Linked DNA regions of Canis lupus familiaris. The protein of the gene in region 4 interacts with the protein of the main gene of each other region in a pairwise test. Links are inferred from orthologs where the notes say so. Each region holds a gene or a part of one and is shown on either strand. Other genes may lie near its edges.

Region 1 (4,231 bases), on a different chromosome or scaffold from region 4:
GAGGGAACGAATCCCATGTTGGGCTCCCTGCATGGAGCCTGCTTCTCCCTCTGCCTGTGTCCCTGCCTCTCTCTCCCTATGAATAAATGAATAAAATCTTTAAAAAAAATGATCACAGAATTTGAATAGACATTCTAAAGAAGATTTACAAATGGCCAATAGCATACAAAAAGATGCTGACCTTCATTAATCATTAGGAAAATGCAAAGTAAAATCACAATTAGGTAACATTTCACATCGACTTGGGATTACTATAATCAGAAAGACTACAAGTGCTACCTACAGTGTGCGTAAACTGAAACTCTCACACAGTGCTGGTGGGAATGCAAAATGGTGCAGTGCTCTGAAAGTTTGGCAGTTCCTCAAAAGATTAAACCAGTTACCATATAACTCAGCAATTCCACTTCTACATATATATCCAAGAGAGGTGAACATACACATCCAATACAAAAATCTGAACACAAAAGTTCATAACTACATTATTCGTAATAGCCAAAAAGTGGAAACTCAAATGCCTGTCAACAAAACAGTTTTTTTAAAAAACAGCCTCACGTTTTAATCCTAAAAGTAACTAAGCAGGTGAGCACCCACAAACAAACCCCTAACTAAACATTAACTCATTAAAAAAAAGACCTTGGGGGTGGAGGGAAAGTTTGTTCCAGTAATATAGAGATTTACAATTACATCTAAATCATACAAACTTTCAGACATGGTAATCACACTGTGTTGATCATACTCCTAAAAATATAATCGAAAGGTGGGAAAAAAGGATTTGAACAAAGATACTCTCAGTAGTGCTATTTTATAATAACAAAATACTAGATAGAATCCAAATTTGTGTATTGGTTTGATAAGATTTCAAATCCACTTGTTTATGACTTAAGTGAAATTTGTTTTAATCCACTTGTTTATGACAAACACCAAAAAAAGTCGTTTTCATATAAGAATGAGGTAAATATGAGGTAAATAGTGTCGAGATGTCATCATCTCATCTGTTCTCACCCATAACTCAGTAGTTTGGCAGCTGAAGCGGCCCTGCTGGGGCTTATCAGTGAAAACTTACGAAGAAGCAAGCATGACAAGGAGACACTTTGACTATAAATACCAAGAATTTGTGAGGAGTAGTTGAGAGTGTTCCGTCTGGACAAGGTGACACTTGGCTGATCTAAACAGCTTTCTTAAACCTTGGGGCAACCGGCCCCTGCCAGGCAAATGCCCAGTCCAGAAGGAAAATCCACTTGCTGGTCAACACCAGCGCCATGGTTGCCTGGCAACAAGGGACTTTTACTTTAGTGCTGGCAGCTGGACCTCAGCTCTGGGTTGGCTAAGCCCAACCCGTCTCCTCAGTACCAACTCCTAGAAAGGAGCACCTCAACTAAACGTGGGCTTGCTTTCTTTTATCTCTCCTTGCCCGGAAAAACAGTGTACTTAATCTATCAATGACTCGGGAGTATTTCATTAGTTTGTTGAGACATGATCCGGTATGCTACTGGCCTGTGAAAATCCTACAGCAAACCTTTGTTAAATAAATTGCTGGCAAAGACAAACTCAGTCTCTGAGCATAACCTGCCTCCCAAAGCAAAACATCCTCACATTAAGGAACTAGATAAATTCTCGTTACAGAACACTATGTGCTTTAATAAAATCTAACAAAAATGTCAAGTATGTGTGTGATGGATGTGTCCTCAATCACACAGCATGTATTTAAGTAATGTATCAGGTAGAAAGAGCCTTCTGAAAATAATGAGGTGCTGGAGAGATGCTTCCCAAACCTTTAACATGCTCAAGAATCATCAGAGAATTTACAAAAGTTTCCGTTTAAGACTCATTTGGGCCCCAGGCCGTATCTCTAAAACAGGATTCTACCCAGAAAATTTAATTACACAAAGTCACAACGCTGCCTGGCTGGCTCAGTCAGTAGAGCATGCGACTCTCGGTCTTGGGATCGTAAATGTGAGCCCCACGATGGGTGCAGATTATTAACTAAAATCTACACAAAATCGCAAAGTGGACTGACTGAATCCGAGTTGGACAGAAGTCTGCAAGCAAGGCGGCAGCTCAACTTGAAGCTGCTCAAGCTGTGGCACTCCACGTTTTCCTGGGGCAGCGTTTTTCCGCGGGGGTAACTTAATACCGAAGATATTAAAACGTGACATAATAACGGTGGAGTAAAAAGCTAAGTCAGCAGGGATCGGGACTGGAAAGCTCCAGACTTAAGGGGAATCGGGAGCCCAGCTGCGGGGCTCCGGGCTCCGCCCCCGGGTCGTCCCTCCGCCCTCAGCCGCGCTGGGGCGGAAAACTTTGGAGGCACTGGCGGCCTCGGGGCCTCTCGACTCCGCAACCCACTCGCTCCGCTTCCCCCGCCTCGACCTTCACCTCCATCTGCCAGGGCCCACGTCCGGGCCTCCCGCGCGGCCCGCGGGGGAGGAGGTGGGAGGGGGAGGCAGGCGTCCGCCGCTCCGCCCCGGCCCCCGGGGCCCGGCCCTCGCCTCTGGCTCCGGTAGCCCCTTCCTCGCCCTGGCTCTCGGCCTTCAGCCCGGGGACCCTCAGCCCGGCCACACTCACAAGAGGAAGCTCATCTTCTATCCTCGGAGGGGAGGGGCCGCTGGCCCCCGCCGCGGTCTGGATTCGGAGCCCGCGCGGGAACCACGAGGAAGCGGCCAGTCCTCAGCTCGCGGCCAGCGGAAGCACCGGGCGCCGCAGCTCTAAACCGGGGGTCTAGCCGGTGCAATTGCGGCGTCGCCTCCCCCACCTCGCCGACCCGAAATGCGGAACCAGCAAAATCTCGCGAGCGAAGGCTTCTGCCCGCCCCGCCCCTGCGAAAGGGCCTCGGCGCACCCCTCTTCGCCCCGCCCTCCCCCAGAGCTCAGCCAATCAGCGGCCTCCCAGCCGGGACTTCCTCTCCTGGAGGCACGGCCAGGTCGTCGTCCCTGGCTTGGGGGAGTGGCTCACCTTCTGCTTGGTCTGGGTGTTTGCTCTTGGATTGTGGGCATCCTCTCTATAGGGCAAGGGGTTTCTAAAAGCGCTGCAGTTTTTTTTAAATTTTTTTTTGATTTTTAAGTTGAGATGTAATTCACACAGCATGAAATTCACCCTTTAAAAATGTATACTCCAGTGATATTTTTCCTCTATTCAGAGTTATGCAACCATCATCTCTAATTCTAGAATGTTTTCATCACCCTGAAAAGAAGCCCATTAGCAGTCATTCTCCTTCCTCACTCCTGGCATCCCCTGACAACAGTCTTCCTTTTTTATATGGACTTGCCTCACCTGGACATTTTACATAAATGGAATTATACCATAGATGGTCTTGTGACTGGCTTCTTTCACCAAGTATGATGTTTGCAAGGTTCATCCACATTGTAGCACTGTATCAATACTTCATTCCTTTTTATGGCTTGAATAATATTCCGTTGTATGAGTATACCTGTTTTGTTTACCTCTTCATCCGTTGATGGACATTGGAGTTCTTTCTACATTTTGGCTATTACAAGTAATGCTGCTACAAACATTCCTGTACTGGTTTTTGCATGGACAAATGTGTTCGTTTCTCTTAGGTATTATACTCAGGAGTGGCTGGGTCCTATGGTTACTATACGTCTAACTTTTTGAGGAGCTCCCAAACTGTTTTCCGAATTGGCAGGACCACTTTATGTTCACCATGGCACGTCTGATGGTGCTAATATTTCCATATTCTTGATGACATTTGCTATTGTTTTCTTCTTTAAGTGTTTTCAGGTGCATTTACCTTATTTTAAAGATTCGTTTATTTTATATTTTATTTTATTTTATTTTATTTTATTTTATTTTATTTCCCAGTGATTCACCAGTCTCATAATACTCAGTGTTCATTATATCACATCATTTATTTATTTTAGAGAGAGAGCATGTGTGAGCAGGGAGAAGGGCAGAGGGAGAGAATCCCAATGAGGGGCTTCAAATGGGGCTCAATGTGGGGTTTAATCCCATGACCCCAAGATCATAACCTGAGAGGAAATCAAGAGTTGATGTACAATTGACTGAACCACCCAGGCGCATTACTACTGTCCTTTTTTTTTTTTTAAAGATTTATTTTTTTATTTATTCATGATAGACACACAGAAAGAGAGAGAGAGGCAGAGGGATAGGCAGAGGGAGAAGCAGGCTCCAATGCCGGGAGCCCGACGCGGGACTCGATCCCGGGACTCCAGGATCGCTCCCTGGGCCAAAGGCAGGGCGAAACCGCTGAGCA
Region 2 (3,571 bases), on a different chromosome or scaffold from region 4:
GGCTGCATGGACTTCAGGGGGTCAAAGGGCCAGAGGCTGGGCCCAGCCCTCTAGCCAGAGTTCCCAGCAGAGGAGTCCTCAGGCAAATGAGGTTCGAGTCCAGGGTTACAAATCTCTGGCACCAGAGGGGAGCCATGGCTGGCAGCAAGGCCTGTGGGGAATAGCCAGGAGCAACTCCACTTGGACCCCCACTTTTTGGCTCTGCATACCAGGGAACCCCCTCCATGCTGGAAAGGGGAAGAAGCAGGTGAGCAGGATTTGTTAGGTTGTGGCTACTTAATAAATCTTTTTTGTTATGAAATCTATCCTGGGCCCACACTGAACTCCTGGAAAGGGTGGGCTTGGCCCCTTATATCACCACGGTATACCACACACTGGTGCGAGTTTCCAGAATGAGCCCCAAGTCCACAGCACACAAAGCTGTTCCTAGTGAGCTGAAACTAGTATGAGACAGTGCCACCCGAAGCCCTACCCATTCCCCAAGCAGCTGGAAGCAAAGGGCCAGGCAGGCCTGAGCAATCTTTATTCTGCAGAGGAACAATGACCACAGATCCATACACCATGTCAAGATCAGGTGAGCCAAGGGCCAGTCCTTCAGGGGTGGGCAGGTCCAGGCAGGGGGGCAGCGCCTCAGGTGAGGGAGGGGCAGATGGGCAGGGGCCTAAAAAAAAGATAAATCACACGAGCAAGAGTGCTGGGGGCTGTTCCCCACCCTCCCCCATCCCAGCCAGCACCCAGGAGGGCATCCCTAACAATGACTGGCCCAGGATCCACCCAGGGGCAGAGTAGGTGCAGTTGGTGCCCCCTGGCTAGGGGGCCAGCATCCCTGCCCAGCCCAGCCCGGGCAGAGCAGTTCAGTTCAGGAGCCAGGAGTTCCCTGGGCAGAGCCTGACAGGGCACCCCCCCACTCCCAGGCCAACCACCCCCCCTACTGCTGGCTCAGAAGCCGAAGGTTTCCTGGGAGGCGTAGACCATGTAGAGGAAGCCATCATCATCCTTCTCCTGCTCATAGATGTCCGCGATGGGTGTGGACACGCTCACCATGCTGTGCTGGTTCACCAGCAGGAAGAAGGCCTGCGTGGGGTTCAGCTGCAGGCGGCGCCTGGGGTGGGCAGAAGAGCAAGCCAGTATGAGGGGACCTGGCTCCTGGGTGGGTGGAGCCCTACACCCCCCTTCCCCCCAAAGGATTGAGGTGGCTTCACACCCATCCCAGCCCCTTCTAGGAGCCCTCACCTCTGACCTGACACTGATCCCAGCCCTGACCTTGACTATCCCAACCTCTCCAGAACAGAGATTTAAGGCCAGGCCCGGCCTGCTGGGGCCTCGCCCTCCCCCAGAAGGACCCAAGCCCCTTCTGACTGCTGCTGCCCACACACCGGATAATCTTGACCAACTCGCTCATGTTGACATGGTCTGGGACCAGGAACTTGGTCTTGTCCAGGACAGGCAGCTGTTTCTCACCCTTGTAGCGCTCGATGATCACCTAGGGGTGGGGCGGGGGATGCGTGAGCCCGGCGGGGCCTGGGGCCGCGGGGATGGGGGGTGGCGGGACTCACCGGGATCTTGCTGGGGTGCTGGTCGCGGATCTGCTGCACCTCCTTACAGCGGTCGGCTGCGGACAGAGGGCGGGCAGTAAGGCCGCGGTCCCGCTCGCCCTTCGCCCCGCCTGTCCCCGGCCCCGCCCCCCAACCCCCGCCCCCAGGGCCATCAGGCCCTAGGGCCTGGCACCCGCCGGCTGGGAGGCGAGGTCCCGGCCCAGGCCTGAACCTGCCTCACGGCCCAGGGGTCCAGCCCGAGTCTGACGTCACGGGGCTGACGTCGCCTGCGGCAGTGAGGGTCAGTCTCGCGGGGCCCCCTCCCCGCGCCCGCTGGCCGCCCGCCGGGCCTCACCGAAGGTCCGCCGCTGCTTGAAAGGCCGGTCCGAGGGCATCGCGCGGGCCCGGCGGGGCGCGCAGGCCGGGGCTCCGGGGCGCGCGGCTGGGGGCTTTGGCGGAGGTTCGGGGGCTCCGCGCCTCGCGCTCAAGGGCTCCGGGGCTCGAGCTGAGCCTGGCGGCGGTGGCTCGGGGAGGTAACTCGCCCGGGTGACGTCAGGTCACAACATTCCTTAAAGGGGAGGCCGGCGCGCCACTCCCATTGGGCCGACGCAAAACCCTCCCGCCCGGACCCGTGACGTCACGGGACAGAGCTGGATTCCCGGTCTGGGCCGCGAAGGGGCGGGGCTTCCTGGGCACGTCACAGTCCGGTGATGTCATGGGCTGCCGCCCCCTCTCCCCGAAGCCGGGGTTGAGCCACCTCTCGGCTCCCGCAGCCCGAGAGCCCGAGAGCGAGCGGGAGCCAGAGCCAGTCCCCAGATCGGCATCTTTCCGTTCCCACTGGTGCCAAGTCATCCCATAGGACACTCGGAGTCTGTTCTGTTCCAGCAACGGTGCGAGGCACCGGGGGTGACAACAGTGAACCCAAAGACCTTCTCGCCTTCGTGGAGCTCATGATTAGAGAAAAAAAAGCTAGGGTGAGGGGATTAAAACATGAAAGAGCAAGACACTAAAAAGGAACACAGGTTTTAGAAGGAATTTCTAGAATTAGAAAAACTATTGAAATTCAGGTCTCAAAGGATGAGACAAAAAAGTAGATTAGATATAGAAGATAAGCCACTGAACTGGAAAATAGATCAGAAGCAACTCACCAGAGAAACTAGGTGATGGGCAATGTAAAAGAGGAAGTGAGTCTTCTCACTTCAGTCCTATCACAGGCCCAATCAGAATTCCAGAAGGAGAGAAAAAAAATGGGAGAGGCAGTACCTGAAGAAGAGCTTACAAACTTCATTAAAGACCAGGATTCTCACATAAAATCCAAAGCGGGATAAATAAAAGTAGCATTTTGGCACTTTGTAATGAATTTGCAGAACTCCAAAGAGAAGATAGAAAAATGGTGAGCAACTCAACTGGCAAACATGTGAGTAGATCTAAAACACAGTGGAACATGAACAGTGACGGTTAATCTGTGGAGTACAAAACAAGAAAGGACACAACTGGTAAGACTGGAGAGGGCAATCAGTTCAAGTGTTCTAAGATGCCTGATTTGAGGGGAGAAAGATAAAGATACTGATAATTGCCCAGCTTTGTAAACCAAAGTGTGTATTTCAGACACTTATGAGGGATCACTAAAGAATGGAAAGTGTAATGGCCAAAGCAGGAAAGGAGAAAAAAAGTAGTTAAAAGAATGGTAAATGATACAAAATCAGAGGTAAAAAAGATTTTACATTCACCTATTAAAACAGATGATCAAAAAAATTTAAAAAAATAAAACAGATGATCAGGGCATGTGGGTAACTCAGTGGTTGAGTGTCTGCCTTCTGCTCAGGTCCGGATCCTGGGGTCCTGGGATCGAGTCCTGCATCGGGCTTCCCACAGGGAGCCTGCTTCTCCCTCTGCCTATGTCTCTGCCTCTCTCTGTGTCTCTCATGAATAAGTAAATAAAATCTTTAAAAAATAAAAATAAAAAAGAAATATACAAAGTGAGTAGCTATATACCTAAAAAAATTAATCCAGATGGTTTTCTAAGTGAACTCCTC
Region 3 (2,584 bases), on a different chromosome or scaffold from region 4:
CCCTCTCACTCTCTTCCAGGTGGCGAGTCATGTGTTCCACCTGCCAAGGTGAGGGGCAGGAATGGGGCTGGAAAACTAGCGCCCCAGCTTACATCCCCCATGCAATCTCCACCCTGTGGCAGGCAAATCGTGGTGACACTTCCTCCTGAGAAGGGGCTGCCCCCCTGGCTTGGCAAGAAGTAAAGATGGAGGGCACGTCCCAGGGCCACGCCCAGACGGCACGGAGCACCTGGCAGCCTGTGCTATGGTCCTTTCTAGAGGCTGGTCGGGAGTTTCTGGGTCTGTCACTTGCTGGGGCTGGCCGAGATCTACCACGCAGCACCCCAAGGCTGCCAGGGAGCACAGCAGGGGTGTGCTTTGGGGACACCATGCCCCTGAGGTTCCCGTGGGCCCTAGGCAGTCACAAGGGACGGCAGGTGGCACCTCCTTGGCTCGCAGCTGCTCCAGGTCCTCCGAGCTCTGTCGGGACCTCTTCTTCTCCAGTTCCAGACGCTCTGGAAGCCCAGGGGAGACAGCGTGGGTGGGACTCCCCGGGTGCCCTCGCCACCCATCCTCCCCTCTCTGGGCCCCTCCACTGTGGGCTTGCATGTGCCCACCCTCAGCCTGGATGGCCCGCGCCTTCAGCTCAGCCACCGTGTTGGTCAGCTCCTGCCTGGCCAGGAACAGCTGCTCCTGCTGAGATCTCACCTTCCGCTCCAGCTCGTCCACCTGGGAAGCCAGCACCATGGACGGAAGCTCCGGTCTGGCCCCTGCCCGTGACCCTGTCCCCCTGTGGCCCTGCCCCCTGCCTGTGGCCCTGGCCCCCTGCCTTTGCCCCCTTCCCCGTGGCCCCAGCCCCTGCCCTGGCCCCCTGCCCCATGATCCTGCCCCCTGCCTGTGGCCCGGCCCCCTGCCTTTGCCCCCTTCCCCGTGGCCCCAGCCCCTGCCCTGGCCCCCTGCCCCATGATCCTGCCCCCTGCCTGTGGCCCGGCCCCCTGCCCCCCACCCCAGTCTCCCCAGGGCCCTGGCCCACACCCCCATACCTGGTTCCGCAGAAGCAGGTTCTTCTCATTGGCAGCAGATAAATCTTTGAGGAGCTTAGACTCCCGTTCTGCAGCCTCCTGAGGGGGAGATGGGGCATCGCTGGTCACCCCGCCTGCCCGCCCTTGCCCACCCTGTGCCCACCCAGCCCTCCCTGCTCACCTGCTGCTCTAGCCTGTGCTCCTTTGCCTGCCTCTGTGCCAAGCTTCTCTGCTCCTGCTCTGTGGTAGCCAAGAGCTCCCCCAGGCCCTGGGCCTTCTGCTCTGACAGGGCCAGGGCAGCCTCGGCCATCTGCAGCCTGGGAGGAGGGGAGAGCCAGCCCCGTCCCAGCTTCGCCTTGAGCCTCGCACACGCGGTGCCGTTCTCACTTTTGCCCACCACTCTTCACCTCAGCTAGAGCTCACCTCCTCCAAGACGCCTTCCGGGGTTACCAACCCAGGGATCTACTTTGTATACTGGGGACTAGTTCTTGTGTGTGTCACTTTTCTACCGTGGGTCCATCTCTAAAATGTTCCAGAGCCCCCCACTCCTGCCCGCCCCCACTCCTGCCCCCAGCCCCACTGACTTGGCCTTGAGGGCATTGATGATGGAATGTCTCTCGTTCAGGGCTTCCTGAAGCTGACCCATGCGTGCTGCTGACGCCCTAGAAGCAGAAAGGAAGGTCCGAGAAACCTCAGAGCACTCCCAGGCCCCCTCGCTCTGGCAGCAGCGGCTGCTCCTCATGCTTCCACGACGTCCCAGCCGCGGCTAGTGGTATTCTCAGCGGCCGCCCCGAACCCGCCAGCCCGTGTCCTTGGGAAGCACACGCCACCACCTTGGCGGGCAGGTGACGAGGCTTGGGGTCAGTCATCCCACAAGGCCGAAGCCAGGACCCAAACCGCAGGCGCACCGACGGGGCTGCACTCACCTGCTGCTCCTGGCCATCTCTTTTCGCTGCTTGTCGATCGTCTCCATCAAGTCCAGAAACTGGGGGCAGAGGTGGCCAGAGCCCTGTGAGGGCCCGGAGCCCGCCTGCTGGCCCTGCTCAAGCTGGAAGGGGCGCCGACGCCCAGTCAAGCAGCAGAGCGGAAGGGCACTGGCCTCACAGGAGGAAGGAGCTCCCGCACTGGGGAGCGCAGAGGCCCCAGGGATGCCCACCTGCCCGCCTAGACACGGGCCAGACCAAACTGGCCGAAGTGCTGGCCAGTCAGAGGAGCTTGGGGTCCTGCCGGCCCCCCGAGGCCGGCCCCTTGCCCCGGCGGCTGGCATGAGGCTCCGCGGTCAGAGCAGTGCTGTCCTCACCTGCCGGGATTTCTCTTCCTGGAGATGCTGCACCTCCTTGCTGAGCACCTGGGTGCGGGCCTGATTCTCCCGGGAAGCAGCCTGCCGCTGCTGACTGTGGGCTATGGCTTGCTCTGTGGAAGGAGCCCCGAAGGCCAGCATTAGCCCAGCCCCGGGCCCCGAACCCGTCACCCGACAGTCGACACTGTGGGCAGTCTTGCCCCACACGTCAGAGCGCGCCGTGAGGCCAAGGGCTGTGGAGGCATAGGGAGGGGGCAACGGTGGGGCCAGGAGCCCGGGAGGG
Region 4 (4,298 bases):
TATTAAATTTAAAAAAATTATTTAAGGGAGGAGGGGGCAGTGAGAAAAAGGAGAGAGAATCTCAAGTAGCCTCCCCACTGAGAGAGGAGCCTGATCCCACAACCCTGACATCAGGACCGGAGCCAAAATAAAGAGTTGGATGCTTAACTGACTGAGCCACCCAAGTGCCCCCCCAAATGGAGACATATTGAAAGAACATAGAAGCTAACCTAAAGGGGCAGCAAAGTAACTAATTAATTGTAGGAGCTGCTGGCTGGCTCAGTCCTTAGAGCATGTGACTTTTGATCTCATCCTGGGTTCAAGTCCCACCTTGAGCATGGAGCCTACCTAAAATAAAAAAATAAAAAGAGGAAAATAAGAAATTATTGTAACCCACAAAATAAAATGCTCATGAGTTCATAGTGACATACTTGAATAAATGTATAACTAGAAAAGAATGGACAGCTGTTGTTTATAATAGAATTCCAATTAATGATTAATTAATAAATAGAAAATCACCATAGTAATTGTTGCCAGCAAGAACCATGGATGGATGCTAAAACTAGTGGGTGAAAATGTATTAAAAAAAAGTTAGGGTGTTTGCATGGTCTCTTGAGGTATCTCATAAGATACTTATTGAAAGGGAGGAAAGGGTAACTTAACAGTTGAGAAACTGGCAGACATTGCTTTAAGCAAGTAACCAAAGTCAACATCACCAATAATGAGACACATCAATATCCTATGACTCCAGATACGATGTATTGAAAAAGACACAACATCATTTCTGTGGGATTCCTGCCCAAAGTGTTAGGGTTAGGGTTAGGGGTTAGGGTTAGGGTTAGGGGAAACATGAGGAAACATGGGACAAACCCATATTGATGAGTAGTCTACAAAACTAGCACTCTTCAAAAGTACTAAGGTCAGGGGATCCCTCGGTGGCTCAGCGGTTTGGCGCCTGCCTTCGGCCCAGGGCGTGATCCTGGAGTCCCAGGATCGAGTCCCTGCATGGGGCTCCTTGCATGGGGCTCCTTGCGTGGGGCCTGCCTTCTGCCTGTGTCTCTGCCTCTCTCTGTGTGTCTCTCATGAATAAATGAATAAAATCTCAAAAAAAAAAAAGTATTAAGGTCATAGAAGACTAGGAAAGACTGAGGAACTGCCACAGAGTGGAGATTTTGGAGACACGACTAAACGCAACATGAGATCTTGGATGGGATCCTGGACCAGAGAAAGGTCACCAAAAGCGGAGAAGGGATTTTTGAACTAGATGAATCTGATTCCCAACCTAGAAAGCAGGCTGCCTGGGTCTGGCTCAACCACAGGCCACTTGAGCACCGCGTGACCTTGAAGAAGTCCCTGCCACCGTCAGACCTCAGTCTTACCTTCTACTAAATAGGATGCCCGCCCCCTTCCGGGCATCTCGGGCGTTGGAAACTACGCAGGCGCGAGAGAGACTGCTTGATTGGCTATTCGTGGTGACGCACTTGCGAACAGTAGCAGCCCCTAAGCCCCACCCCTTCCTGCCGCGCCTCCTAGCACGCATATCGGCCCCAAGCACGTCGCCTACACGCCTGATCGCACGCATGGTGCGTGGTGACGTCGCGGCGGCGCGGGCGCCATCCCGGAAGCGCGAGCAAGGCCGCCAGATGTGCAGGTGCTGCTGTCACCGACGCCGGGGCCGAGTTCGGGGTGGGGCTGGGGACGCCGGGACCGCTGGGGAGCCGGGCCGGGTCGGGCGCGGCCCCGGGCTGTCGCGGGGTGGGGCGCGCCGCTGGCCACATCTGGGCTCCCCTCCTGCGTACAGGCCTCAGTTTCCCCGTCCGCGCAATGTATGCGCCGGCGGCGCCACGGGCCGGTTCCGGATCCGGGGCGCGGGAGCTGGGGCTGACTATGTTCAGGCTGTGCAGTGTTACCCGGAACCGGGCGTTGCCCTCTTTGGGCCTCAGTTTCCCCGCTTTGCAGGGGCGGGGCGTGAGGGGTTATGCGAGTCCCACCTCACTCGCGGGTTTTGCTAAGGTTGGGTCGCCAAGTTAAATTTTGTTAAATAAGCGGATGGAATTATGGTGCCTCCGCCTTGCCGTGTGACCTTGGGTAACTGAACCCACCCGTGTGCGCCTTAGTGCCCTTGGAGATGATAGTGTTTGCTTTATAGGGGAGATTGGGGATTAAATGAAGTGCTGTCCAAGTGTTTGTTCCTGTTCTTGGAAGTACCAGGGAGCCCCTAGCTAAAATGCTGGTTCCCCGGCCCCGCCCTAGGACTTCATACTCTGCTTGGAGAAGCAGCCCGCTCTGAGCCCAGCTCCTTATCACTATTAGTTTCAGTACCCACAGACAGCGCTGTAAGGTTCTGATTCTTTGTTACTCTCCTTTTCTGGATGAGAAAACTGATTCAGGGAGGTGAGGTGACTTTCCCAAGGTCACACAGCCTCCCTCTCTGCATGTTTTCCTCATAAATACATTTGGAGCAGGGATCAGAGCTCTTGCTGGGTAATTTCCACCCTGTATGTGGGCCAGACTAGCTGTTAGCGAAGTCTTCCTGAGAAAGGCAGCTGGATGGAGAGTGTGCCTTGAATCCCTCAGCCCCATCTGGGACCCAGAGACAGGAAAGAGCCCTACTTTGGAGCAGAACCATTTTCCACGGGTCCAAATCTTGCACCTGCCAAGCACTAGCTGTGGGGCTTCCTGCCACAGGGCTCTGCCCTTCGAGCCCAAGTGTCCTCTTTATATATGATCATACTTCTTTGGAAATGTGGATACTGTGGGTGGTAGTACTTGGCATGTAGTAGGAATTCAATAAACATAGTGATTATTGGGTGAGGGGAACTTCACCAGGTGTGGCAGTTTATTTCCAGAAGACAGTAGGGGCTGCAAATAACTCTTGGCCTCCTTGATGCTTGCAGGGAGAAAAGTATTAACATTTGTAAATGAGGCAATTTCACACGCACGCATGCACACACACACTTCTGGTTTGTTTGTTTTTTTCCTGGAAAAATTCAGAAGTGTGGCAGAAGTTAGTTGCTGTAAGAAGCAGCTGTCCTGGCATAGGTGAGCATTGAAGATCTGTTCAGAGTCACACTTTTGTGGATCCTGCAGACTGTGGGCTTTTGAGTTGTGACTTGGGTTTACTGGCTATGTGACAATGACCCAGTTCCTCAGTGTCTGAGTCTCAGTTTCTTGATATGTGATTAAGGATAACAGTTCTCAGTGTATGAAGCTTAGTGGTTTGATAGCATGCAGTAAGTGATCAATAAAGAGGAAGGTAGAGTTAAGTGGGCTCTGAAAGCCCTTCCTGGTCCTGTATGTGAATCTCAACAAATTGCAACTGGGCCTTTCTGTTGGCAGGTAAATATGTAGACCCCAGAGCCAAGCTATGTCAGGACTCCAGGTTTTGTTTTTTGTTTTTTTTTTTTTTAAGATTTTATTTATTTATTCATGAGAGACACAGAGAAAGAGAGAGGCAGAGACACAGGCAGAGGGAGAAGCCGGCGCCATGCAGGGAGCCTGATGTGGGACTGGATCCCAGGTCTCCAGAATCACACCCCAGGCTGAAGGTGGCGCTAAACCGCTGGGCCACTGGGGCTGCCCAGGACTCCAGGTTTTGCAGGACACTGCCACCTACCCTCAAGGGTGAATGCTGAACCTGTGGCCCCTCCTGCCCTGGCATGGTCCAGGAGGCCCCTACCCGCCATCATGCTCATCTGCCTAAACACAGAGCCATCTAGGTTGCTGGGGCCCACAGACTGAAATTCTTGGCTTTAATTGTTAATAAAAGTCTACCGTCGTCGGAGTGCCTGAATGGACTGAATCCATTAAGCTGCTGCCTTCGGCTCAGGTTATGATCTCCAGGTCCTGGGATTGCACCTCACATCAGCCACCCTGCTCAGTGGGGAATCTGCTCCTCCCTCTCCTGTCCCTCCCTCCTTCCCTCTGCTCATATGCCTTTTCTTCCTTTCTCTCAAATAAATAGATAAAATCTTTAAAAGCAAAACAAAAGTCTATTGTCCTAACTAGAGGTGAGTTTGAAAGCTGCTAAGCTAAGTTCTGGTGATCCTTGCTGTGAGCCAGGTTCTGGGCTGGGCTCTGGAAGAGAGACATACCTCTTGGAGCTGACAATGTTTTGGGAGCAAACTGGTGAAAAGGTCAACTGATGGGGCACCTAGGTGGCTCAGTTGGTTAAGGTTCTACTCTTGGTTTCAGTTCAGGTCATGATCTCAGGGTCATGGGGTTGTGGGACTCTCTCCCTCTCCCACTCCCCCTTCCTTCCTTTTGTGTGTGTACACATATGCTCTCCAAGATAAATACATCTTAAAAAAAAAAAGGTC
Region 5 (4,155 bases), on a different chromosome or scaffold from region 4:
TTATGTGCAAAATTCAAAAAGGGTACAGAGCCATAATTTTGATAAGGCACTTTAAAAAGAACATACAACATCACAAAGCATGTAACCTGAGAAATAAACAGAGAAAAAAATATATATATACATTCTTTCTAGACAGCTTTCATTTTCTGAAATAAAAACTTTAAAAAGCATCATGAAGGATGAAGGATAAAAAACATTTACCATATATTTTTAAAAACTGTCATCAGTTAAATATCAAATCCCCGTTAAAAAAAAAAAAAAAAAAATTCCTTCAAGTCAGGTTCTGATTCAAATATTTTTTTGAAAAACAATTACAATTTTCACGCTAAAAACAAGAAGAAAAAAACAGCTTTTAATTGTACTGTCAACTCATTTATTCAACAAACATTTACTGGTTTGAACACTACCCTTGTTCTAGGTGCTGGGGATAAAGAAGACAGACACAATCATTAGTTCCAGGGAACCTGGCCTAGTGGAGCTGGGCCAACACTAGTAGCCTTAAAGTTATTTCCTTTGGTCCATAAAATGAAGCTCAACTTCAAACTCGGGCATTTTCAGCATCTTCTTGGAAATCAAATAGAATGCTCTACCTGTTTTTTTCTACTGGTAACACTGTGGCATTATTAACCTTATCTAATGATGAAATAACTTTCATAAAAGATTCTATGAAAGTTTAGAGAACAGAAAGTATTTAAAGATAGATATTGGCCAGCATCAAAAATAGCATCGGTATTCTGCTTTCACAAAAGTGAAGAAAACAAAAAAAAAAAACTGCATTCTGAATACACAGACTGCTGGAGACAACCTTATACTTATGGTACACATGCAAACATCATAAATGAGCAAGTATGAATTATCACACAGCCAAATCAGTTGTCAGGCTTCAAAGAATCATAGCCTTCTTTCAAGAGGTCCCGCCAGGTTTTAAGGAAGCGTGCATTTTCTGTACATTTGAAGGCAAGCTCTTCCACTTGAGCTGATACTGCAGATGTGGCTTCAAGAAGTTTGGTTAATGAAAATGCTGCCTGAAATTTAATGAAAACAAAAAAAAATAGAGTCAAACAATATAAAACACCAGCTCTTTCCAGAAACCTAAGAAATTCTTTAATATGACGTAAGCTTTGAGGAATATGTCTGCTGGAAGGACATCCACTATGTACCAGACATAACAAGTCAGTACCTTTTTTTTTTAATTGAAAATACTCTAGGGGCACCTGGTTGGCTTAGTCCTAGAGCAAGCGACGACTCTGGATCCCAGTGTTGTGAGTTCAACCCGACATTGGGTGTTGAGATTATTAAAAAAAAAAAAAAAAAAAAATCTTCAAAAGAAAGAAAATAGGGATCCCCGGGTGGCTCAGCGGTTTAGCCCCGCCTTCAGTCCAGGGCCTGATCCTGGAGACCCGGGATCGAGTCCCACGTCGGGCTCCCTGCATGGGCCTGCTTCTCCCTCTGCCTGTGTCTCTGCCTCTCTCTCTCTCTCTCCTCTCTGTGTATTCTCATGAATAAATAAATAAAACCTTTAAAAGAAAGAAAATACATCAGACTCTCATTAAGATAAAAAAAAGAGGACTTGGATCCCTAGACACTAAGCTCCAGAAGCCTCTGAAGGGCTTCCTTCATCGTAAACAACTGCCTGGCAGGTAACAGGAGTAGCGTCCCACTAATTTAACCTGTGAACACTACTTACACCATGAAAATGCACAGACCAAAGAACAGAGAGATACTCCGAACGGACAAATAACATCAACAAAACCAAAACAAACTAGAGCAGCCTACACAAAATATCCAACTCTTGGTGCAATTCACTTCTTATTCAAATGTTTTTTCTTCACCTATTAATCTAACATAACACTGCTCCTAGATAAGAGATCAGCGGTCCACTCTACATATTCCCTTGATAACCAGTCCCGTTCAGCGAAAACTGAAGCTGTGTCAGCACTTCGATCATCTTGAAAACAAAACAAGACGGAAACGCAAACGCTTGCTAAGCGAGGAGCGACGCTCCCACCTGCACGGGGGGTCGAACGTGCAAGCGCACGGTTCTCCCAGGAGGACTGCACCCCGCGGACCTCATTCGCTTGCCTCCCCCACCCCCCGGAGTGGGTGTGCGAGGGGGTGTGACCGCCGCATTAGGAGATGCAACGGACACCGTGGGGCTCGGGCCCAGCCGTCAAGGAAACCAATCGGGGCCACAGAAGCCCTAAGGGAGCCCCAAAACGGGGTGCAGCACGCCCGAGGCCCGCGGCCCGGGCACCCGGCAGGCGGCCACCCAGAGCGGCGGGGTCTCGCGATGGGGGATGGTGGCGAGCCCCCGCGAGCCGGAGGCCCTCCCCTCCCCTCCCTCCCCTCCCCTCCCCGGCCGCCTGCTCGCGGCCACCCTCTCCCCACCCCTGCCTCCCTCCCCCGGCCGCCGGCTCGCGGCCCTCCCCAGCCCCCTCCCCTCCCCTCCCCCCTCCCCTCCCCCCCCCCTCCCCCCCTCCCGCGGCCTCCGCGAGCGCCGGGACCGTCCGCCCACACTCACGTCTCCGATCTGCAGCTCCACCTCCTCCAGCGGGTCCGCCGACCGGCCGCGGCCGCTGCTCGGAGCCGGCCAGCCCGACCTCCCCGGAACGCCGGGGGAAGAGGCTGACGAGGCCTCCGAAGACGAGGGGGAGGAGGGGGGCGGCGGCGGCGGCGAAGAGACCCGCGCCTCCTCGGGGGCCGCCATCAGCGGGGCTGGGACCGCGGGTCGGAGCCCGGCAGCCCGACCCACACCCACCGCCGTTCAAACCGCTCGCGCCCAGCGCCCGGAAGCCCCGCCTCTCCCGCCCGAAGCCCCGCCCGGTCTCGGCGGGGCCCTCTGCCCAGGGCCGCGGATGCCGGTCATTTTTTTCCGGACGCCCAATCAGAGGTCAGTTCGTTCACCTTGGGGCAGTTCATCGCTCCTGCGCAAACTCCAGTGAGGCTCCGAAGGCGCCTGGGTTAGAGGACTACAACTCCCAGAATGCTGTGGGCGTCGCTCCGCCACCCCTCCCCCCGCACACGCACAAACACTACTTTTGATGCGCACCCATATACCGCGGGATCTGTGAGTCCCTCTCACCCGCCCTCCCGCGGCCTCGCCACGCCTTGCTGAGACGCGAACGGAGAACCAATCCTCAGCCTGACCCCGGGGCCTGCTGGGACTTGGAGTTCTTTTCCCTCGCCCGCCTCGGCACCTGACCCGGAAGTCCCTGCCGGCCGTGAGCGTCACGCGCGGCGCCGGCGCACAGCGACAAGGAGGCGGGGCCGTGGGGAAGCCGAAGCCGCGGGCAGCGCGGGGAGGGGGACTGCCGCCGAGGTGTCGGTGTTTCCCGGCGAGTGATGGCGCCCCCCGCGGCCTAGACGTCGAGGCCCGCGGCGAGCCGCAGGCGGCCCTGGGACCCGTCAAGATGTCGGTGCCGCTGGCCAAGCTGTCCTGCGCGGGTGAGAGGGGGCGCGGGGCTCGGGGCGAGGAACGGGCAGGGCCGCCCCAGCTTGAACTAGGGCAGAGGTCGTGCGGCGGGCACCTCGCGGGCACCTCGCGGGCACCTCGCGCCCTCCCCTCGGAGGGAGGGGCTTGGAGGACCCGACAACTGGGCCGGAGGTCACGCGCGGCGGGGGAACCTTCCCGACCCTCTTGGGACCCTTACCCGGAGCTCGGGTCGGGTCCCGCCTTTGGCTTCGCGGCCCTCCTCCCTCCTAGTCCATTCTTGAGAACGTGGAGTCTGAAAATTAATAAATTAATTAATTAATTAACTAATTAAAAATTTAAAAAAATACAAAAATACAAAATACAAAAATAATAAATAAATTAAATAAATCTAAATAACTAAATCAAAAATAAATAAAACTAAATAAATAAAACTAAAAACTAAAATTAAATAAATAAGTAAAACTAAATAAATGACTAAAAACTAAATAAATAAATAACTAAAAACTAAAAAACTAATTAAAAACTAAAACAGATAAATAAAAACTAAATAAATAAATAATTAAAAAACTCAATACATAATAAATAAATAAATCTATGTTGAAGTCTGACCTGCAGCCCTCCTCCCTCCTAGTCCATGCTTAAGAACTTGAAGTCTGAAAATAATAAGAAAGAAAGAAAAAGAAAAGAACTTGAAGTCTGACCTGTCACATCGTGATTAACAC
Region 6 (3,318 bases), on a different chromosome or scaffold from region 4:
TTTGTGACAACCACTAGGTTTCACCATTAATTTCTTTACTGCAGGCCTTTTCAGAGCCTTTAAAACCTTCAGGTGCATTAGAAACAGCTAAGAGGGCACGTGGTGTGCAGGGTTCCCAGACCACTTGTTTGCAGAGAGCCTCCCACTCACCCACTCACACAATCTCTTCTTTCTTGGAGGTTTCCTGTGACTTCACACCTCACGTCACAGTGATTATTTTACTTTCCGTCCCTCAGAGCATCCGTTCCCAATACCAGTTATAATGTGTGAGTTCTGGGATGGCCAAAGACTTAGGACCTGGATCTGAATCCCCTCCTGTGGATTCTTCTCTAGTTCCTCAAGGAGGGGCCTGATGTGCGCTTCTAAGGTTACCGGACAGCGAAATGAGTATTTTCTATTTAAATTGAAACTTAGGAAGGCAAGGCCTTTTCTTAAAATCCCGGCGTGTGTACCCCCAGCCCTCCCAAGTCCCGGCATGAATCAACGAGCGAGTTCAGGAGTGGAAAGTGCAGGTATTTTATATATTTTCTGAAACCTGTGCTGGTGGCGACCCGGTTCTGCAGGGCGTAGAGGTGCCCGCCTCTGCCTCGCCCCGGCGCCGGGCGCCCCGCTCTCAGCACCTCTGCGGCCCTGCCCCGTGCGGGCCCTTGAGCGGCCTCTGCTCCAGGAGGCTGGTGGCCAGCGCGCGGGCCTGGTCCCTCCTCGAGGCCCAGGACAGCTTCTGGAACTCCTGGAAGGCGGCGTCGCTCTCCCGGGAGATCTGCTCCAGCCTCTGCTCCTTCCTCCTGACGGCCTCCTTGATGCCCTCCATGATGCCCTCCACGTGGCCCTTCTCCTCCTTCTTGGCTGTCAGCCTCAGGATGTGACGGAGCTCCTCCCGCGGGACGCTCAGCTCGGGGTTGTGCTGCCCCTTGTCCCTGGCGCTCCTGTGCTCCGGACTCCTGGGCGGCCACCTCTCCAGCTCGGCCAGCTGGGCCAGCAGCTGCTGGTGCGCCCGCGTCTGCACCTCGGTGGCCCCTGCGTGCGGCTGTACCTGCCTGAGCTGCTCCTGCGGCCTCTGTGGCCTCTGTGGCCCGGTCCTCGGCTCGTGCTGGCTGTCGAGGGGCTGCGGGCAGCTCTGCTCCAGGGACAGCTTCCTCAGCAGCTCCTCGGCCTTGGCCTGGCAGTCCAGGAGGACCCTCCGCGCCTGGTGGTTGACCAGCGAGCTGAGGCTGGTCTCCCAGGCCCTGGCCTGGGTCTCTGGTGCCGGCAGCTTCCCCGGACAGGCCTGCATCCCGACCTGCGGCCCATCCTGCTCCCGCGGGCCCTGCACCGCCCCGGGGGGCTCCTGCAGTGGCGGCTCGGGGCCCTGCGTCCGGGGTGCGGGCTGCGCCTCCGAGGCGGGGGCTTCCCCGGGGTGTCCGGACCTGGCGCTGCCCCTGGGCTGGCCGTCCGGCCCGCGGCCCCGCGGCTCCTGCTGCGGCCACTGGGCCGGGCTCTCCGGGCTCTCCGGGCTCTCCTGCAGCAGCCGCCCGCGCTGGCGGCCCAGGGTCGCCTGCACCCTGTGGCCCGAGCACTGGAGCTCCTCCGGGGCCGCCTGCCGCTGCAGCTCCCGCATGCGCCGGGCCCTCTGCAGCCGCGCCAGCACCCCCGCCGCCCTCTGGTCCCCGGGCCGCGCCGCGGCCTCTTGCAGCGGGTCCTGCCGGCTCTGCGCGCTCGGGGGGTCTGCGCGGGGCCCCGCGGCCGGGCCGGGCCGGCTGCCCTGGGACCCCCGCGGCTCGCAGGCGGCCCTCCCGCAGGCGCACGGGCAGGCGCACGGCGGCCGGACCCCCCAGGCCGCCACGGAGGGCTCGTCCGGGAGCCCCGAGGCCCGGGACCAGCGCCCCGCGCCCCCCGCGCGCCCCGCCCACAGGTCCCCGCTCTGCGCCCGCTGCGCCCCGAGGCTCCCGGCGGGCGGGGGCAGGGGCGGGGGCGGGTCTCCCGTGGCCGGGGAGGGCTGCGGGGGCCCCCGGGGCTGCGGGCGGGGCGCGGGCGGGGGCCGGGGCCTCCTGGCGCGGGCGGGGACCCTCGCGGCCACGTGGGTCAGGCTGTGGCTCTCCAGGGGCGAGTCGGGGCACCCCGCTTCCCGAGGGGACCCCCGCAGGGGCGAGCGCGGGGAGCAGCGGCCCAGGCCCAGGCCCTCCATGCTGCGCCCCTGTGCGCCCCGCGGGCCGCGGCCCCTCCCGAGCCCCACCCGGGCCTGTGACGCGGCGGCCACTTCACAAAGGGGGGCCTGGCCTCGGGGCTGCGGGAGGGGGGGCTGCGGGGGATGGGGGAGGGGGAGGGGCTGGCCTCGGGGAGTGCGGGCGGAGGGGAGGGAGGGGGCTGTGGGTGGGGGAGGGAGGGCCGAGGGTGGGGGAGGGGAGGGGGAGGGGGCTGCGGGTGGGGGAGGGGGGCCTGGCCTTCCGGGGCTGGGGAGGGGAGCGGGGCTTGGGGGCTGCGGGGGGGGGGGGGGGGGTGTGAGGGTGGGAGGGCCTGGCCTTCGTGGGTTGCCGGGGGAGAGGGCTGGCCTTCGAGGTCTGCGGGGAGGGGGCCTGGCCTTCAGGGGCTGCTCCGCGGGGTGCCGGGTACTGGGGGGGCACAGGTGCACCTGGAAGGAGCTGGCTGGAGGCAGACCGCAGCGCGGACTGCGGGCATGGTGGGGGGCACGGGCCGGGCCACGCCTCCGAGGTTTGCAGAGCTCCAGGCTTGCCTCCTGCGCTGGAGCAAGCCCACCCCTGTGTGTTTTGTTTGCCTGTTTTCAACTGAAGTTAATATAGGGGTCTGCAGAAGTTTCTGCAGATTTCCTAACTCAAGAAAAGAATGAAAAAAAAAAAAAAAGAATGGAATTAGGGCAGTTCTAAAGCAGGCTCCATGCGGAGCATCTCGGGGTGTCCTGCTGTCTGGGGGTGCAGTGGGGAGGCCTGTCTGGGCCTCAGTCTCCGGGTACGGCCACCTGCAGAGGAGCGGGATGAGCAGGGGTCCTGCTGTCCCCTTCACCCGCATCTCCTGGCCACCTCGCATCAATCCCACCAGGCAGGGCCTATAGGATTGATAACAAGTCCTTAAGACAAACCTGAGACCCTGGAGGTCACCTGGCCCATGGCAGGGGTTTTCAGACTCACCCCTTTGTCCACGTCAACATGCGCCTCTCAGGACGTGCGCTTGGGGTTGGGGGTGCTGTGTCCCTGACCTGGGAGCCCACCGCCCTCGGGCCCCACTAGTGGATCAAGGCCCAAACACCCCGTGGGTTGGTCCTTGGGGGCCGGCCTTTGCGAGGTGCGTAGGGTCCTTTGCAGGATGAGGGTGAGGCCCCATGCT
Region 7 (4,111 bases), on a different chromosome or scaffold from region 4:
GCAGTGTTGAAGGTTTTCAATACACTGTAGCTATGCAGATACTTTAAGATCCAAAGAAAACCTTTCCTCTCAAGGCAGGAGCACATCCATTCTTTTGGATGGTAGCTAAGAGATAAGGAGGGGCCTAACTAAAACTGAGTTATGTGAGCAGTCAGGGAACCTGATTGCTTTGGTAAATACCAATGGCCCAGCTGGAAGGGGTTTTAGAAATCACTTACACTAACCCTCTTTTCTGTACACTTTAGTACAGCAAGATTAAGGATCTGGCCCAAAACTAAATCTCACAACTCAGAGAGCAGAGCTCTTCTTCCTGCATCACGACCACAAAGAAGGTCACAGGCTGAGCACCTAAGGAGCAGCTGGAACGCTTATAAACTGGTTAAAACCCAACTGAAGGAACCATGAGACCTGAGTGATGATTCTAAGAGCTGACAAGTAATCACACAGGCCAAACATTTTTAACACCAAACAATGAGCAGGAAAAGAATAGGGAAGATTAGCTGAAATACTCTGGGTGAATGCATGTAAGAGACTGAAATGGCAAGGGCTCGGTTTTGAAGAAATACATGGGAATTTTAACTAGATTTAGGAACAGGTACCTTTCAGAGTTTGTGGCTTAGGCAGAGCTACTGGAACAGAGCCTCATACTGTTCTGAATAAATGGTAGTCATTTTGCTCAGTGGGTTACCTTTCTGGCATCATACTTCTCTGACCTTTCTAGGGCTGCAATGTTTTTTCTTAATTTCCAATACCTAACAGTGTGAGTCACACAGTGCCTCCTTAATTAATTCTGAGATTAATTTTCCTTAATTCTTAATTAAGAGAATTGTATTAGAAATTGAGAAACGATATGGCATGGAAGGTCCAACAACCAGAGTTGGAATCTCAGGCTCTGCCACACACCAGCCACAGGAAACCTTTAGGAATCCGTCATTTCTCTGTGCTTCAGATCCTTCATCTGTAGAATGGGATTATAACGGTGTGAAGATTGAGTAAGGTCAGAGGACATGCAATACTGTCAGTATAGAGCAAACAATCAACCAATGAAAGTTAGTTGTCATTTTTAACTATTAGACGAAAGGAGGCTTGCTACCACCACAATTGGGGCAAACTTTTGAAGCTGTCACCCAAAGTCCAGATACCAAACAAGTAATTTGTGAAGGATCATTTACTGGGTGGGTAATAGAGCTAGATCTCCTTTTTAGCTGAAAACCCTTGTGTACAATTCGTGGGGAATGGAACAGACCTAAAGTCTCGCTTCCTTATAAAGGACTGCAGGGGAGTTTTACTGCAGGCATTAAGGCCCAAGTTGCTTCCAGTAGCTGTAACACGATGAAAATTAGGTAAGGATTGGAGAAGAGTCCCAAAGAGTACCTGCAGGTCAAGAACTGACAACACATAATCACAATTACTTTGCCTGTACATAATACGTCATCTTTATCCCAATGTCCCTGCCTGAAGATAGTACAATCTGACAGCCTCTGCTCCTCCATCTCCAAAACCCAACGGTGGTTGTTCCCTCTACCACCACACTCAAAAGTCTTCTGCCTTCCAATCTGGCTGCGCAGCCTACATTACAAAAAAAAAAAAAAAAAAAAAAACAGGCAAGCGGCGGGGGATGGGGCGACGAAAAAAGCGCCCGGATGCAGAAAGCTACCTTAATGTTTCTCTGTTCTCCCCACTGCCGGCACTAATTTTAACCACAGAAACCAGCTTCCAAGACGGAAGCAAAAGGCCCCAGTCCTTCATGGTTGTGTCCAGGTACAATCTGATAGAATAAGTACAGGAGGGAGGCTGGCTGCACCCTCACAAGCCCCTGGAGCCAAGAATGATGAGGCAATCGGGCTGTGGCGCAGAGAACGTGACCTTGTTTTCTGGGCCAGGCCTGTCTCGTGCCCTCCCCTCCCCCCCCCCCCAACAAAGACACTTTTCTCATTCTTATGGAATAAAAGAAAGGATCCACTGATTTCTGAATCTATCCCTCCCAAACCCAATGTTCTGAGAGCCAAAGTCAACTTCAGGGAGACGCATCGAAGGCAGAAATCCATGGCCGCAAACCTCACTGCACCAAGTTATTTCCAGAACAATTTCCCTGGGATTCTGAAGGACGCGAATGTATGGTCCCATCTCGATCCTGCTCTCACTAAAGGGCCACGTTCTGGTCACTTCTCACCCTGCACATCCTCTGAATACTGCTGAGTCACTCAAACGGAGGCTCCGCTCTAAAGATGACGGGGAGAGCGGCCCCGGGGAGACGGGCCGTGCAGGGTCCGCAATCAGGACGTGCGCTCCACGGCTCTCCAGGGGCTCAGCAACCCTAGAGACCACCCCTCTTCTGTGCCTCAGGGCAGCCACCACGACTCCCGGGTTCCCCCAAGCGCGCTCAGCCCCTTCCCCCCTCCTCTTCCCTGCCCCCCATTACACTCACAGGGACCCTGTCCGGATATTTCTTCCGGATTTTTTCTCCTTCCTTTTTCCGATATTCAAAGGGATGGTCCTCCTTGTACTGGAACTTCATGATGGACCGCAGGGTTTCTAAGATTCCCCGGCCGGGGCCTGCCTTCCTCGCGGGTGGCTGCGTCTCTCCCGCCTCGCCTCCCCCTGCCGAATTTCGATGTAGGTGTCAGAACCGCCTGAGAAACGTCAGCTCCCGTCGCCACGCGCCTTGGCAGAGCTTGCAGAAGGGACGTCGGGTCCCCTCGGACGCAAGACGGAGTCGCTCAGGTGGAGAAATCCCGGCGGATTTTCCCCGGAGCCTCGAGCACAAAAACAACACGGCGGCGCGTTGGTATTATGACGTCATGACGTCCCGCCTCCCCGCCCCGCCCCCAGCCTTCGGACGGCAGCGGGGGGCGGGGGGGGAGGGCGAAAGTCGGTCCGGTTCGGCGCGCTCCCCTCTCCCTCTGTCCGAACTCTCCTGCGTCGGGAGTATTGCGAACATATAACTTTTTTACTTCGAATTTCGTTGTGTGGCTGTGACATTAAAAGTGGTTTGGATGCAAAAAAAAAAAAAAAAAATACGTTCTAAAGATATCTTATTCCCTCTTGCTCGCTGTTTCTTGGTTGGATCCAAAAACAAACACAGGGGGCGAAAATCGAGCTCTTTCCAGCTTATTGGGATCTGGAATCTAGGAGAAGAAAGAATGGGGGTCGTCGGGTGCCTTTGGCCCGGTACGGAAGTGCCCGGTGCCTGCACTGTGCCCTTTGCTCCTCGTCTGCACCCCCGCTCCTGGGCGCTGGGCTGGCGCGCTCCGACCGTGACCCTCCTTCACCACGCGCGCGCACGTCATTTTGTTTGGGTCCTTGCCGCAATTCGCTCCTAGAGCGGCAGCAACAACAGAGCATGACTCAGGAATTTGAGATGTAGAAGCTGAAGGGCAAGCTTGTCGTCAAGGTCCTGAGAAGTGATGTCAGTCATCGCTGCCGAGGGCGTCGCTCACGCTCCGATATAGAAATGATTCACTTTCTCCTACGAACTCAGAGGGTGGGCCTGTCTTCTGGAAAAGAAAATAACCAAGCAATTCAGGTGGTTCACAAAGTACCTCTTAAACATTTCTGTTGTTTTTTTTTTTAATTTTTATTTATTTATGATAGTCACAGAGAGAGAGAGAGAGAGAGAGGCAGAGACACAGGCAGAGGGAGAAGCAGGCTCCATGCACCGGGAGCCCGACGTGGGATTCGATCCCGGGGCTCCAGGATCGCGCCCTGGGCCAAAGGCAGGCGCCAAACCGCTGCGCCACCCAGGGATCCCCCATTTCTGTTTTTATTCTGCAAAAATTCACCAGAGGATAGTACTACTTGTTAAGTGTCCCTAAGGTGAAATAAAGTGCCACCCGAAGGGCTGGTGGAAGACTGGTGGGCCACCTGCCGTTGTCGCTTGCCTCTGGCCGTCCCCTGGCCCCACTAAGAATGGAAGAATTAAGGCCTTTCCAACCACTGCCAATGGCAGTGATTCCAGGGATTGTAGATCAGCAGGAGGAAGGCAGAGAAAATTGTAAAAGGTATAGAAGAGAGAGGAAGGACCGCTTTGCTTTGATCAAGTCCAGGGAGCTCTGAAATAAATATACAACAGCAGTCCCCATGTCTCTGGTTTAAAAAACAAACCCACAAA

What was found.
Region 1: the proteins of KXD1 (region 4) and MOB1A interact in binary tests that used the Homo sapiens proteins (3 or more experiments, as listed by UniProt). The two-hybrid records come from large-scale screens. The link is inferred for Canis lupus familiaris from reciprocal best matches to the Homo sapiens genes KXD1 and MOB1A.
Region 2: the proteins of KXD1 (region 4) and MAP1LC3A interact in binary tests that used the Homo sapiens proteins (3 or more experiments, as listed by UniProt). The two-hybrid records come from large-scale screens. The link is inferred for Canis lupus familiaris from reciprocal best matches to the Homo sapiens genes KXD1 and MAP1LC3A.
Region 3: the proteins of KXD1 (region 4) and LRRC45 interact in binary tests that used the Homo sapiens proteins (3 or more experiments, as listed by UniProt). The two-hybrid records come from large-scale screens. The link is inferred for Canis lupus familiaris from reciprocal best matches to the Homo sapiens genes KXD1 and LRRC45.
Region 5: the proteins of KXD1 (region 4) and C15H4orf46 interact in binary tests that used the Homo sapiens proteins (3 or more experiments, as listed by UniProt). The two-hybrid records come from large-scale screens. The link is inferred for Canis lupus familiaris from reciprocal best matches to the Homo sapiens genes KXD1 and C4orf46.
Region 6: the proteins of KXD1 (region 4) and CCDC185 interact in a two-hybrid assay, tested with the Homo sapiens proteins (2 studies listed by BioGRID and IntAct). The two-hybrid records come from large-scale screens. The link is inferred for Canis lupus familiaris from reciprocal best matches to the Homo sapiens genes KXD1 and CCDC185.
Region 7: the proteins of KXD1 (region 4) and GABARAPL1 interact in binary tests that used the Homo sapiens proteins (3 or more experiments, as listed by UniProt). The two-hybrid records come from large-scale screens. The link is inferred for Canis lupus familiaris from reciprocal best matches to the Homo sapiens genes KXD1 and GABARAPL1.

The regions. Positions count from the first base shown.
Region 1 is NC_049238.1:49,414,908-49,419,138, reverse strand, and holds the start of MOB1A (MOB kinase activator 1A), read right to left. Parts: upstream 2,801-4,231; 5' UTR 2,580-2,800; coding exon 2,566-2,579; intron 1-2,565. UniProt on the Homo sapiens protein: Activator of LATS1/2 in the Hippo signaling pathway which plays a pivotal role in organ size control and tumor suppression by restricting proliferation and promoting apoptosis.
Region 2 is NC_049245.1:24,182,743-24,186,313, reverse strand, and holds MAP1LC3A (microtubule-associated proteins 1A/1B light chain 3A), read right to left. Parts: upstream 2,086-3,571; 5' UTR 1,931-2,085; coding exon 1,891-1,930; intron 1,613-1,890; coding exon 1,557-1,612; intron 1,484-1,556; coding exon 1,377-1,483; intron 1,103-1,376; coding exon 940-1,102; 3' UTR 501-939; downstream 1-500. UniProt on the Homo sapiens protein: Ubiquitin-like modifier involved in formation of autophagosomal vacuoles (autophagosomes). While LC3s are involved in elongation of the phagophore membrane, the GABARAP/GATE-16 subfamily is essential for a later stage in autophagosome maturation.
Region 3 is NC_049230.1:1,121,797-1,124,380, forward strand, and holds part of LRRC45 (leucine-rich repeat-containing protein 45), read right to left. Parts: intron 2,415-2,584; coding exon 2,302-2,414; intron 1,987-2,301; coding exon 1,928-1,986; intron 1,664-1,927; coding exon 1,586-1,663; intron 1,319-1,585; coding exon 1,183-1,318; intron 1,101-1,182; coding exon 1,023-1,100; intron 709-1,022; coding exon 597-708; intron 495-596; coding exon 424-494; intron 41-423; coding exon 1-40. UniProt on the Homo sapiens protein: Component of the proteinaceous fiber-like linker between two centrioles, required for centrosome cohesion.
Region 4 is NC_049241.1:44,895,443-44,899,740, reverse strand, and holds the start of KXD1 (kxDL motif-containing protein 1), read left to right. Parts: upstream 1-1,498; 5' UTR 1,499-1,630; intron 1,631-4,298.
Region 5 is NC_049236.1:56,143,745-56,147,899, forward strand, and holds the start of C15H4orf46 (renal cancer differentiation gene 1 protein), read right to left. Parts: upstream 2,801-4,155; 5' UTR 2,708-2,800; coding exon 2,522-2,707; intron 1,026-2,521; coding exon 870-1,025; 3' UTR 1-869. Other genes in the region: ETFDH (electron transfer flavoprotein-ubiquinone oxidoreductase, mitochondrial), read left to right, coding at 3,411-3,444.
Region 6 is NC_049259.1:24,499,196-24,502,513, forward strand, and holds CCDC185 (coiled-coil domain-containing protein 185), read right to left. Parts: upstream 2,165-3,318; coding exon 614-2,164; 3' UTR 501-613; downstream 1-500.
Region 7 is NC_049248.1:10,352,222-10,356,332, reverse strand, and holds the start of GABARAPL1 (gamma-aminobutyric acid receptor-associated protein-like 1), read right to left. Parts: upstream 2,801-4,111; 5' UTR 2,519-2,800; coding exon 2,429-2,518; intron 1-2,428. UniProt on the Homo sapiens protein: Ubiquitin-like modifier that increases cell-surface expression of kappa-type opioid receptor through facilitating anterograde intracellular trafficking of the receptor. Involved in formation of autophagosomal vacuoles.